4 linked regions of the Saccharomyces cerevisiae S288C genome follow. Changing the gene in region 1 together with any one later gene gives a genetic interaction. Each region holds a gene or a part of one and is shown in the gene's direction. Other genes may lie near its edges.

The links.
Region 2: mutations in IAI11 (region 1) and YME2 together harm fitness more than expected from each alone (negative genetic interaction), as found in Saccharomyces cerevisiae (2 studies listed by BioGRID).
Region 3: mutations in IAI11 (region 1) and IZH1 together harm fitness more than expected from each alone (negative genetic interaction), as found in Saccharomyces cerevisiae (2 studies listed by BioGRID).
Region 4: mutations in IAI11 (region 1) and PHM8 together harm fitness more than expected from each alone (negative genetic interaction), as found in Saccharomyces cerevisiae (2 studies listed by BioGRID).

What each region holds. Positions count from the first base shown.
Region 1 is NC_001134.8:108,814-111,748, forward strand, and holds IAI11 (Iai11p), read left to right. Parts: upstream 1-1,780; coding exon 1,781-2,066; intron 2,067-2,135; coding exon 2,136-2,431; downstream 2,432-2,935. Other genes in the region: Arf family guanine nucleotide exchange factor YEL1, read left to right, coding at 1-1,182; CMC2 (Cmc2p), read right to left, coding at 1,312-1,607, 1,693-1,726; protein phosphatase regulator SHP1, read left to right, coding at 2,624-2,935.
Region 2 is NC_001145.3:869,546-874,463, reverse strand, and holds YME2 (Yme2p), read left to right. Parts: upstream 1-1,838; coding exon 1,839-4,391; downstream 4,392-4,918. Other genes in the region: alcohol dehydrogenase ADH2, read left to right, coding at 127-1,173; ATP-binding cassette Fe/S cluster precursor transporter ATM1, read left to right, coding at 4,837-4,918. UniProt on the Saccharomyces cerevisiae protein: Plays a role in maintaining the mitochondrial genome and in controlling the mtDNA escape. Involved in the regulation of mtDNA nucleotide structure and number. May have a dispensable role in early maturation of pre-rRNA.
Region 3 is NC_001136.10:1,433,321-1,436,406, forward strand, and holds IZH1 (PAQR-type receptor), read left to right. Parts: upstream 1-1,603; coding exon 1,604-2,554; downstream 2,555-3,086. Other genes in the region: serine/threonine protein kinase PKH1, read right to left, coding at 1-948; MZM1 (Mzm1p), read left to right, coding at 2,897-3,086.
Region 4 is NC_001137.3:224,240-227,354, forward strand, and holds PHM8 (bifunctional nucleotidase/lysophosphatidic acid phosphatase), read left to right. Parts: upstream 1-1,649; coding exon 1,650-2,615; downstream 2,616-3,115. Other genes in the region: ATP-binding cassette family ATPase ARB1, read right to left, coding at 1-960; Smc5-Smc6 complex subunit KRE29, read right to left, coding at 2,619-3,115. UniProt on the Saccharomyces cerevisiae protein: May be involved in phosphate metabolism.

The sequences.
Region 1 (2,935 bases):
GAATTTAGTACATCAAATTTACGTAGTGTTAACTCTAATTCTACTACACTATATTCAAGAGATGGTCAAGTATCTGTACGAGAAATGAGCGCAAAATCAAATAAAAACTTTCACAATAATCACCCCATGGATGCACTCTACCTTAAAGAGTCTTTTGATGACGGTTTAATTACCGAAAACGGCTCCAGTTGGTTCATGGACGATTTAATTCTTATAAGCAAGAAATCTTTACCACGTAAATATTCTAAAAGAGACAAAGATCAAGTGGCGGCACCAAAAATGACCTCTAAGAGAAACAAATCGTTCTTCGGATGGCTAAAACCATCTAAAACGACTACACTTATTGAGCACACATCTAGAAGGACTTCTTTATCGTATTTGAATAAGGATTCTGAATGGGAGAGGGTGAAAATACAGGTCAAGGAGGGCAGAATTTTTATTTTCAAAATTAAACCAGATGTTAAGGATATCATCCAATCAAGTGAAACAGACAGTGCTACCATCGACTATTTCAAAGATATCAGTAGCTCTTATTTTGCTTACTCACTGCTTGAAGCTGAAGCACATGTCGTGCAAGATAATATAATTATAGGTAGTGGAGCAATGAAATCAAATGTGTGTAACAAAAACACCAAGAGGAAAAGTGGCAACTTTACCGTTAGTTTTCCAGAGAATATCAACGGACCAAAGCTTGTTCTGGAGTTCCAGACGAGAAGTGTTGAAGAAGCCCACAAGTTTATGGACTGTATCAACTTCTGGGCAGGTAGGATTTCTCCAGTTCCTTTAACACAATTCGAAGCCGTATCTAACGCAGAATATGGATGGAGTGACAAGATCTTGACAGAGCACGCTTCCCTCAATCTTAAAAATATTGTTGTAAGTGAATGGAAGCCACTATTGGGGCTAGAGCTACTATACGAAGATGCGAAAGATGTAGAGATGGTCGAACTAAAAGAAAGGCTAAAGGAATTGATGAACTTCACCAGACAGCTTGGTATATGGATAGATAAACATAACGAAATAAAGGATAAGCTGGTCGAAATTTGGAGCTTTGACGATAACTATTTTGAAGCAGTCATGAATAATTGGAATTCGAGATATTTGTATATGAATAATCAATATAAGAAACGACTGAGCTACTTGAAAGCTTTGCAAAAAGCCATGGGTTCTGTTCAGTTCTAAGTATATTTAAAGATATAAATATAAAGACTGCGCTGAAGAAATATAAACTTGAAAACTGTACTCTGCCTTTTATTTACAAGGGATATTGAGATGATTTGTGTGAATGAAGTAGCGACAGAAAAAAAGCTTTTATTTCGAGTTCGCATCATTGTCACTTTCCTGCTTTTTCTTGGCGTACTGTCTATCTAAGATAGTCTTTAATATAGCGTCCTCGCCATATTCTTCTTCCTCAATTTTCTTCCATCTCTTTTCTACATCAGCTCTCTTTATTCTACTTTCAATGACAGCACGTTTCTTGTTATTCAAACTTGCCTCCTTGAGACACTTGTTCAAAGCATCCTTTTCGTTGTTACAAAGGCCAAATATTCTCTTGTAATATTCCTTTTGATGGCATTTATCGAGTGCATTGATGAAGTCCAAACAGGCTAAAATGAAGAAGGGGAGAATACAATGTTAGTAAGTCGGAGCACAGAAAAAGGCAAATATATGAAGTAAAATCTGGATACTTACAATGAAAACGTTCAGCTTCTAACTGTGGATGCATGTTGTAGTACTTGTCTTATCTTGCTTTTGTTCAACTGCACTTGTAAATCAGTGAATGTTATTGGACGCGCAGCGATTTTTTAATAGGTCTTTCTCTATTAATGTAATATGCGAATTGAAACATAATGTAAACACAAGAAGAAAATTCGAAATAAAGGACTGGCCAACAATAATGTTAGTGAGCAGAAACGACAAGCCCAAAATCAGTAGTGAGGAAGTCACACATTTTATAGACGACTATAAAAAGAGGAGGAAAACTCAGATGACACGATTCTTCGGAATCACTATTTTTACACTTATAACATGTAGAATTGCCATGAAGAAAATGATAACTGCAAAAGGTATGCATAGGCAATAACTTCGGCCTCATACTCAAAGAACACGTTTACTAACATAACTTATTTACATAGTGCCATTGAACACTTTTCAAGCAAACTACGCCAGCCGGACGCAGACAATAACACACACACAAAAGAGTCTTGCAGGTTCTCTTTTAGCGGCAACGGGCATGACACTAGGTATATTTGGTATGGGCATCACAGGGACATGTTGGAGCTGGGATGTTTCATCATTTCAGGAACTAAAGCAACGTCTGGAAAGGCGTGCCAACAACGAATTTGTAGTGACAAACATGCCTCTGGATAAAAGAAGCCAGCAAGTAGTGGACAGCTTAGTTAAGACACACAATTCATCTCTTTGTAAATAGTGTTATACCATAGTAGTAGTTTCAATAATATATTCCACTACTTATATGTGTTACCCGCATTAGAACTCTTATTGGTGGCGAAAATCGATGGCAATAAAGAACGGAAGGGGTTTAATAGTTGTATGCTTAACATATTTCGATTTAAATATATAAGAAACGTCGGTAGCACAACAATTAACTCATTATTTAGGTATGGCGGAAATACCTGATGAAACCATCCAGCAGTTCATGGCATTGACCAATGTGTCGCATAACATAGCCGTTCAATATCTCTCTGAATTTGGAGATTTAAATGAAGCACTAAATTCCTATTATGCTTCTCAAACGGATGACCAAAAGGATAGAAGAGAGGAAGCACATTGGAACAGACAGCAGGAGAAGGCCCTCAAGCAAGAAGCCTTCTCCACCAACTCTTCGAATAAAGCCATAAATACGGAGCACGTTGGTGGGTTATGTCCAAAACCAGGATCCTCACAAGGTAGCAACGAGTACTTGAAAAGGAAA
Region 2 (4,918 bases), on another chromosome or scaffold:
TCGAAATACTCTTACTACTGCTCTCTTGTTGTTTTTATCACTTCTTGTTTCTTCTTGGTAAATAGAATATCAAGCTACAAAAAGCATACAATCAACTATCAACTATTAACTATATCGTAATACACAATGTCTATTCCAGAAACTCAAAAAGCCATTATCTTCTACGAATCCAACGGCAAGTTGGAGCATAAGGATATCCCAGTTCCAAAGCCAAAGCCCAACGAATTGTTAATCAACGTCAAGTACTCTGGTGTCTGCCACACCGATTTGCACGCTTGGCATGGTGACTGGCCATTGCCAACTAAGTTACCATTAGTTGGTGGTCACGAAGGTGCCGGTGTCGTTGTCGGCATGGGTGAAAACGTTAAGGGCTGGAAGATCGGTGACTACGCCGGTATCAAATGGTTGAACGGTTCTTGTATGGCCTGTGAATACTGTGAATTGGGTAACGAATCCAACTGTCCTCACGCTGACTTGTCTGGTTACACCCACGACGGTTCTTTCCAAGAATACGCTACCGCTGACGCTGTTCAAGCCGCTCACATTCCTCAAGGTACTGACTTGGCTGAAGTCGCGCCAATCTTGTGTGCTGGTATCACCGTATACAAGGCTTTGAAGTCTGCCAACTTGAGAGCAGGCCACTGGGCGGCCATTTCTGGTGCTGCTGGTGGTCTAGGTTCTTTGGCTGTTCAATATGCTAAGGCGATGGGTTACAGAGTCTTAGGTATTGATGGTGGTCCAGGAAAGGAAGAATTGTTTACCTCGCTCGGTGGTGAAGTATTCATCGACTTCACCAAAGAGAAGGACATTGTTAGCGCAGTCGTTAAGGCTACCAACGGCGGTGCCCACGGTATCATCAATGTTTCCGTTTCCGAAGCCGCTATCGAAGCTTCTACCAGATACTGTAGGGCGAACGGTACTGTTGTCTTGGTTGGTTTGCCAGCCGGTGCAAAGTGCTCCTCTGATGTCTTCAACCACGTTGTCAAGTCTATCTCCATTGTCGGCTCTTACGTGGGGAACAGAGCTGATACCAGAGAAGCCTTAGATTTCTTTGCCAGAGGTCTAGTCAAGTCTCCAATAAAGGTAGTTGGCTTATCCAGTTTACCAGAAATTTACGAAAAGATGGAGAAGGGCCAAATTGCTGGTAGATACGTTGTTGACACTTCTAAATAAGCGGATCTCTTATGTCTTTACGATTTATAGTTTTCATTATCAAGTATGCCTATATTAGTATATAGCATCTTTAGATGACAGTGTTCGAAGTTTCACGAATAAAAGATAATATTCTACTTTTTGCTCCCACCGCGTTTGCTAGCACGAGTGAACACCATCCCTCGCCTGTGAGTTGTACCCATTCCTCTAAACTGTAGACATGGTAGCTTCAGCAGTGTTCGTTATGTACGGCATCCTCCAACAAACAGTCGGTTATAGTTTGTCCTGCTCCTCTGAATCGTCTCCCTCGATATTTCTCATTTTCCTTCGCATGCCAGCATTGAAATGATCGAAGTTCAATGATGAAACGGTAATTCTTCTGTCATTTACTCATCTCATCTCATCAAGTTATATAATTCTATACGGATGTAATTTTTCACTTTTCGTCTTGACGTCCACCCTATAATTTCAATTATTGAACCCTCACAAATGATGCACTGCAATGTACACACCCTCATATAGTTTCTCAGGGCTTGATCAGGGTTCCGTAGATGGGAATTTGAGAAGTATAAGGGAGATAACGGTAATGTTATATTGAGAAAATGAAAGATGAACTCAGTATTGACAGGATCTAAAACCAAAATATAGCGGGCCTATACAGGAAGTAGTATTTGTAAAAGTAAACCATGTTGCTAGTACGAACGACTTCCCTGAATGTGTCAAGGATGCCAGTGCCATGCCTCGCCAGAGGAATAGGCATCCTCAAGGGCAAATATAGACTAGCGAACCTGATGAATGCCCAACCCTCAGTGAGACATGTGTCGAGCGAGATCCAGCAAAAGGATCAGCAGGCAGGAGAGTCAAACACCGCCACCGATACTGGTGTTATTCACAAATCAGATGAAGAAACTCTGATATATTTCGATAATGTTTACGCTAGAACCACCTCGGTTTGGAATCCAACACTGTGGTACAATCTCCTGCTAAGAAACCAGTCACGGGATGCAGTGAGGGAGAAAATAAGGAATTTAGCCAGTCCACCCAATAACCCCATTTATGGACTGGAGTTGAAGTCTACCATTCCAGTGAAAAGGGATGGTGGTGTATTTGCCACATTTGTCGTTCCACCCAAGTATACAAAAGCTCAGGTAAATTCTCTAATCCAACAGAATACAGCCAGAGAATCCTCTAAAAACTTACTCTCGTACTTCACTCGAGCTTCTGCCTTCCCAGTAAAGGGTTCGCCTTGGATTGAGGATTTAAGAAGACTACCAAGTACCACTATAGTCATCAAGTTCCAAGGGCCCGCCTTAACAGAAGAAGAAATATACTCTTTATTCAGAAGATATGGGACAATTATTGATATTTTCCCTCCCACTGCTGCTAACAACAATGTGGCAAAGGTAAGATACCGTTCATTCCGTGGTGCCATTTCTGCCAAGAATTGTGTTTCCGGTATCGAAATTCATAATACCGTCTTACACATACAATACGAAAATATCAGAAGAGGCCATCTAGTTAGTAATTTTTTCACCAACCATACAAGGATTGCTATTCCAGTTTTATTTGCGCTACTTTCAATCTTTGCTGTTTTAGTGTTTGATCCTATAAGAGAATTTTCGATTGAACAGAAGATCACTCACAAATATTCTTTATCGTGGGACAATAAGTTTTGGAAACAACTGAAAACGCTAACCTCATCTACCATGACTTCTATCAAGTACTACTGGGGCGGCCCTGATGATAATCACCAAAGAAAGCATTTATGGGAGGAAAGAATAGAGAAAGTGAATGACCTGAAAATGTGGCTTGAAGAAAATAATAATACTTTTGTGGTTATAAGGGGGCCTAGAGGTTCAGGGAAACATGATTTGGTCATGCAACACACTTTGCAAAATAGAGCAAATGTTTTGTATTTGGATTGTGATAAATTGATTAAGTCCAGAACAGATCCTATGTTTTTAAAAAATGCCGCTAGTCAATTGGGTTATTTCCCAATATTCCCATGGATTGACTCTGTCACAGGTGTCCTTGATTTAACAGTGCAAGGATTAACAGGGCAAAAAACTGGGTTGTCTGAGACGAAGGAATCTCGGTTTAGAAACATGTTAACTACCTCATTGATGTCCATTAGACGTATTGCTCTCAAGAATTACAAGGCTTTTGTTTCCACCGGTGATGGGACAGTTAATGTTAAGGAAGAAGATTACCTACAGCAACATCCGGAAGCTAAACCCGTTATCGTCATAGATAGGTTTGAGGGCAAGTCGGAAATAAATGGATTTGTGTATAAGGAACTATCCGATTGGGCAGCTATGCTAGTTCAAATGAATATTGCTCATGTGATTTTCTTAACGGAAACCGTTGCATCCAACCAAAGATTGAGCGAATCACTACCCAATCAAGTCTTCAAAAACCTAATCCTATCAGATGCCTCAAAAGAGAATTCGAGGAACTATGTATTATCCCAATTGGAGGATTACTTATATTACAATAAAAAATCCAAGGGTGAAAACGTAAAAGAACCTGAATCAGAAAAGGAAACTGCTGAAAATAATGATTCTGATAGTGAGGCCGATACGAGTGTCAAAAAAGCTGAGGTTATTTTAAATGAAAAGGAATTACAGGAAATTGACGCTTCTTTAGAGCCATTGGGTGGTAGGATGTTAGACTTACAGGCATTTGTAAGAAGGGTAAAGTCAGGAGAAGAGCCCTCGGAAGCAGTAGACAAAATGATTGAACAGGCTTCTGAGCAAATAACTCAAATGTTTTTAAGTGACAAGATTGACAGCAATAAAAGTGCACAAGCCTGGGAATTAATCGAATTATTGAGTGCGAACCCAGTCATTCCATTCCATGAAATCGTTAACAAGCCATTATTCAAAGCCGCACCAGAAACGGGAATCATGGAATTGGAGAATAATGGTTTAATAACTGTATCTAGAGATAGGGGTGTTTTACAGGAAATCAGGCCTGCCAAACCGCTATACAGGGCAGCATTCACATACTTGATCAACGATCCTGAACTCGCAAAAGTGCTAAAAACCCGTTACTTATTAAAGGTTGTGGGTTTTGAAACTGGTAGAATCAAGAAATGGGAAGAAGAATTAAAACCTTTGGGGAAAGTTCCTGATCAGAAACTTTTCAAGACCAGATTGGACTATTTATCCGGTAAAATCAATGCCAGTAATGCAGTCATTACCAAATGTGAAGAAGAAATTAAAAACCTATCTAAGTGATGAAACAAAACTTACTATTCTGCTTTTCTGTACATATGTGTAAACCCTATATTGCTATACTCATCTATATTCTTTTGAAAATGTATAAAAGTGACGATTGGAGATGGTGCAATTTTCTACGCAGCATGAAAAATATCTAAGGAAGGTAAGGTACATACCAAGTAAGTCTTATAATATGTTGTTGTACCTCACTTTACCATTCTTAAAGTCTTTAAAAGAAATTACCTTACCCAATTTGCACAGCAAAGGTCACTGACCTATACGTGCCCTTCATCAGATTACATCACGTGAAATTTCACTGGGAAAGAGCGCGAGGGCTTTCCGATGACTTTCTACATTAATAATCGCAAACAAAGCAATCAGCACAGCAAAGAGTACAATTTCGAAAATTGCGACAGAGCAACGTAAGTATATCGTTGTTGATAGATTCCACTCCAACCTGCAAATGCTGCTTCTTCCAAGATGTCCTGTAATTGGGCGAATTGTAAGATCAAAATTTAGATCTGGTCTAATCCGGAACCATTCGC
Region 3 (3,086 bases), on another chromosome or scaffold:
GGAATCTGTATAATTATCATTCAGTAGCTCAGGAGAAACATATTCTGCGGTACCAACAAATGATTTCGACTTAGCATACAAATCGAAATAAGGCTTGCCATCTGCGGTGTTCGAAGGTTCCTCCGGTAAAATTTTGGCTGTACCAAAATCCGTCAACTTCACTTTCATATTTTTGTCGAGCAATATGTTTTCGGGCTTGATATCCCTGTGAATAATGCCGATATTATGCAAGGAGTCAACGGCATCGATGATCTGCGACGCATAATAGCGTGCACATGTCTCGTTTAAAGATCCATATTTCTTAATCAAGCCCAAGAAATCACCGTGGGGGGCATATTCTAGAAGGAAATACAAGCTTGCCTCGTCCTGGAAAGTGAAGAAAAGCTTGAATATGCCCTTGGTGCCATTCAGCTTCTGCAAAGCCAATTTCTCCACTGTGACGTATTTAACTTTTTTTTGACGGATCAGATATTCTTTACTCAACACTTTTACTGCATATTTCTTGCCCGAATCACGGGCGGTAGCCAGAACAACACTAGAATATGATCCATCCCCGAGTTGCTCTCCAAACTTGAAGTCCTTTATTCCCATCTTGACAACATGCTTAGTTAACTCCCCCGTAGCTGGGTCGACAACATCTTTGACGATTTTTGCCGCACCACGTTCTGCCCATTCTTCTCTTCTACGCCTCATTGAGGGATCAAGACCCATCTCGTGCTGCATACCCGGGTCATCATTTGCCAGGGGAATGAAGCGATTAGTACTAGTCAATGCCTTTTCTCCAAACTGACCTTGTGGAGAAGCCTGTAGTTCAGACCCGCTCTGAGAATTGCTGCCATCTACGAAAGGACGAGGATACTCTTGCGTTTGTGTATGTTCCGCAGATGTCGGTACCAAGGGCTTGGACAGCAGGGCGTGGTCTGCCTCTGTCAAAGACCTATTTCCCATATTAATGATATAGTAGCAGTATTCAAGCAAGTACACGTGCGCAAGTTGTACCAGATAGTGACTGTCCAGCGTTACTTTCTCGCCTGCTCTGTATTACTCTTGTTGTCACTCCGCAATATCTCAAAGCCATTAATATGTACTAACTTGAATTTTTCATGCTCCCTTAAACGAAAATAACCCTACTGAGATTTTCACCTTTATAGGGTTATATGCTAAAATAAGTAGGTCTTATCATGCAACCTTTAGGGTCCAAGCCCTTAAATCCGACAGTCGGGCAAGCCCATTTTCCCAACGATTTTTCAACGGTTTTTTTGCCTGCAGGGCATCGGCAATTTGACAATACTCACGACCGATGGATGCAGCAATCAACGTAAAAACCTTACTTAGCCGGTTACTCATGTATATGTCAGACATATATACACACGCACACATATATATATACGTACATGTTGGCACCCTTCTGTTAATAGAATTTGATTTCTTTTCTAAAGGCATATCAGTATCATCAGTTGAAACAGTAAGGAGCTCCGCAAGCGCAATATTAACTTTACAAAAGTGATTCTGGTTCCTAACTTTTCTATTGTTTTCCATTTTCGTCATTCGTTTTGTTATTAGTCGCCTTAATTGAGTCAAGCAAGATAAAAGAAGAAAAAAAATGAGTATCACCACTACTAGAAGAAGAAACCAAGATAGTGTCTGCTGCAAGGCAACGAGAGCCTCCATTAAGGTGGAAGCTGTCTCAGGCCAGACAGTTTTTGAAAAGCAAAAACTGCTACACAATTTCGATGAGTTGCCAGAATGGCAAAAAGATAATGACAAAATTCTCACCGGGTACGTTCGTGAAACACTGTCATGGAAAAAGTGCTTATATTCTTTATTTTATTGGAACAACGAGACTGTGAACATTTATACACATTTGGTACCGGCTATCGTATACTTCGTGTTTGCCATTACGTTGACCAACTACTTTCTAATTCCCGTTTTCCCCTCCACTTCCTGGTCCGATTACACCGTTATAAACATTTTCTTGATGGGCGCTTTCTCATGTCTCATGTGCAGTAGCTGTTTCCACTGCATGAAGCAACACTCTGAAAAGCAAAGCAATTTCTGGAGCAAGCTCGACTACTTGGGGATTATCAGTTTGATTTCCTGTTCTATGATCCCTATAATATACTTTGGTTACTTCGACCACATATCCTACTTCAGTCTTTTCACGATTGTTACTTTAGTCCTGGCAACATTTTGTACAGTCTGTGTCCTCCACGACAAGTTTAACACTTCCACATTTCGTCCATTTAGGGCCATGTTTTTCATATTGTTTGGATTTAGTGGCTTACTCCCATTGACCACAGGGTTTTTCAAGTTCGGTATCCAAGGGGTTCTTAACAGAATAAAAGTCAGCTTTGTGTTTTGGGAAGCTCTCTTTTACATTTCAGGGGCTGTAATCTACGGGTTTAGGATTCCTGAAACTTTGGCTCCAGGGAAGTTCGATTTCTTCGGTAGCTCTCATCAAATATTTCATATTATGGTGGTTCTTGGTTCTGTATGCCACTTGAAAGCCATTATCGATTCTTACAAATTAATGCATTCTCATATCCACCCTTGATGGGCCTACAACTACTACAAAATCAAATAAATAACATTATATATCTAAGGTTAGAAAATAATTAAATGCAAAAAAAGTCTTTATTCCTTTTTAGATATTCGTCACATCATGCTTTTATCATAGATCGCATTTTGACAGGTACTTCGCTATATTAGCCTAATTAATTTTGGTCTTACTAAAGTGAGTAATGCCGAAAAATTAAACGTTTGAATAAGTGAACCTACTACAAAGGAAAGAGAGGAAGAGAAAAGGATAGGACTAAAAGACTTCCTTATATTTTTCGGTACGCTTGCGTTTCACTGAAGAGAATAAAAAGAACAAATTATATAAATTTAACACACTATGAGCACGAGAACAAAGGCCCTGAATGCATACAGGCATGGCTTAAGAGCAACCCGAATAGCTTTCCGGAATGATGCTGAAGTATTACTAGCCGCGAGAGCTAAAATGCGTTCAGGAATGTTATGTCCCCCAGATCCTAAACTCACCACAGAGGATCAGATTCAACATTTAGAGGATGTGGCTGTTTTTT
Region 4 (3,115 bases), on another chromosome or scaffold:
GGTTTCCAATTCGGATCTTGTCTTGTGATAAGAATCATAGTTACCACCGTAAGCAGTTAGTTTTTGAGCTCTCATGTCAATCATATTGGTACAAACACCGTTCAAGAAATCTTGAGAGTGGGACACCAAAACTAAAGTTCTGTCAAATCTCTTCAAATATTCTTCTAACCAAACACAAGCTTCCAAATCCAGATGCGCAGTAGGATCATCCAACAATAATAGAGTTGGCTTAACGAAAAGAGCTTTTGCCAACGCAACACGCATTTTCCATCCACCAGACATATCTTTGGTTTTCTTCAAAATGGTCTTCTTGTTGAAACCTAGACCGATCAAAATGATAGCAGCTCTAGATTCAAAGGTGTCTGGATCCAAAGAGTCCATTCTTTCATATAGAGGCTCTAATAACTCGGACTCAGGACCATCTTCCAAGATAGTCTTTTCGACTAAGTCTTCTATTCTTTTCAATTCGTGTTGAGCTTCAGTGACAACGTAGTCCAAGGCCGACAATTCACTTGGTTCCGCAGGTTCGTCCAATAAATAAATATCAATATGCTCAGGAATAGGATATTCTCTAGTAGCAAGAGCCTTTAAGAATGTTGACTTACCACAACCATTTTCTCCCAGAAGACCATATCTACGGCCGTAGTTTAATTCTAAACCAGAATCTTGGATCAAAACTTTACCGTGGAACAGTAAAGAAACAGAAGATAGCTTGATATCACGGGAAGTCTCCAATGAACTCAAAACACCAGTGACAACACGATCTGAAAGACCATCCTTATCTTGTTGCAACTTCATCATCTTGATTTCTCTAGCGGCTGCATCTACCTCCGATTCTTCAGCAGCAGCCTCCTTTTTTCTACCTAGCTTTCTGATGGTTTTACCGGCAGCGGCTTTCTTAGCCTCTCTTTCAGCTTTCTTAGCATCTCTCTTGGCCTTTGACGCAGATACTGGTGGCATATTTGGTTCTGTCAAGTTACTGTTTGTAGCACTGAGGGGAAGAAAACAATTTTTGCAAGAAAAAAGTTAAGAAAGAAGAAGAAAAACTACACGGGCACTAACATGTTAAATATGATAATATTTTTTTTTATAAGAGAATCACTACCAAGTTACCTGAACTACGTCAAGGAAAAGCCATTAATTGAGATGAGGTGAACGAAGAAAAAAAAAAAGAAAAAAATTTTTATTTTTTTTTCCATCGGTCTCCCCCCTCACCTTTCTTTTTTCATTCGTTTAAAGTGAGATTAGGGTAATGCATTTCGTATTTAGTGAGTAAACGTCAAAGGTGATATAGGGGGTTTTTCTTTTTCCAGAAAAAGAAAGAAAAAAGCCGGCGGTCGCCGCCGGAGATGGTTGAGAAAAAAAGGGGGCAGCAACGTGCTTCACATACAAACCAAGTTCTTGGATCTGTACGATCGTTTCTGCGGGTTTTTCCGTATTTGCCGCAATACTGAAATGGCTCATTATTAGGAGATGTGCATATAATGTATATACATACATTTAGCATATGTAATACATTCGTACATGTATAGAAATATATGTTTATATATATATATATATATATATGTATATACGAACTCGGTTTAACGCATAGTTGGTAAAAGATTTAATGTAGATAAAAAACACATAAGTTTTATACGCACGTAATCATGACTATCGCTAAAGATTACAGAACAATTTATAGAAACCAAATCAAAAAGCAGATACGACTAAATCAGGAGCATTTGCAAAGCTTGACACATCTAGGCTCACAAATCAATTTCGAGGTGGATCCTCCCAAATTACCGGATCCGGATCCTGCTCGAAAAGTATTTTTCTTTGATATCGATAACACTTTGTACAGAAAATCTACGAAGGTACAATTGCTCATGCAACAATCATTATCAAATTTCTTTAAATACGAATTGGGGTTTGACGACGATGAGGCAGAACGCCTAATCGAATCGTATTATCAAGAATATGGATTATCCGTGAAAGGTTTAATAAAGAATAAACAAATTGATGACGTCCTACAATATAATACATTCATCGATGATTCCTTACCTTTGCAAGACTATTTAAAGCCTGATTGGAAGTTAAGGGAGCTGCTGATCAATTTAAAGAAAAAGAAGCTCGGCAAATTTGACAAACTATGGCTGTTTACAAACTCGTACAAAAATCATGCCATCAGATGTGTTAAAATATTAGGTATTGCTGATCTATTTGACGGCATAACCTATTGCCACTACGACAGACCCATCGAGGAAGAATTCATTTGCAAGCCAGATCCAAAATTCTTCGAAACAGCTAAATTGCAAAGTGGGTTGTCGAGCTTTGCAAATGCCTGGTTTATTGATGACAACGAAAGCAATGTGCGGAGCGCGTTGAGCATGGGGATGGGCCATGTTATCCATTTGATAGAGGATTACCAATATGAGTCAGAAAATATTGTTACTAAGGACCACAAAAATAAGCAACAATTTTCCATATTGAAAGATATCCTTGAGATTCCATTGATAATGGACGTTGAAGTTTACCGTCCATCCTCTATTGCCATAAAGGAAATGGAAGAGTTGGAAGAGGAAGGGGAAGCAGTCAACTGGTCAAATCAACAGATCAATGTTCAGTCATCATGACTGTTACCTGATTTTAGAAAACAAATTTAATATTCCCTTCAGGATAGAAATTTCAACATCATTTGTCGTTTCATTAGAAATATCCAAAATACAATCTTTGAAATATTCTGTTACTTGACATTTGGGACCAAAAGGAATAAATTTCGAGCCATACATCGTTAAAATAAAATATAGTAGATTTTTATAGTTTTTACAATCAAAAAATTCGTTAAACTCTTTGATTATATTTTGCTGTATAGTTTCAGTCCGACCTTGCTTTTCACTAAAGCGTCTCCTGAGCAAGGCGCTTTGTAAATGAGGGAAGATTTGTAGTAGCCTATAATGTAAAAAAAAGTCGTTCTTGTCCACAATTTCGAAATATGAATTTATGAAATGTGCCTCATTAAATAATTCCAGGACCTTAAAACACAGTCTATGGTCCGATTCCATAGCGTTAAAAACCTTTCTATCCAAGATTAAACATATGAAGGCTTTCAGAAAGAATTCTCTAACATCATCAT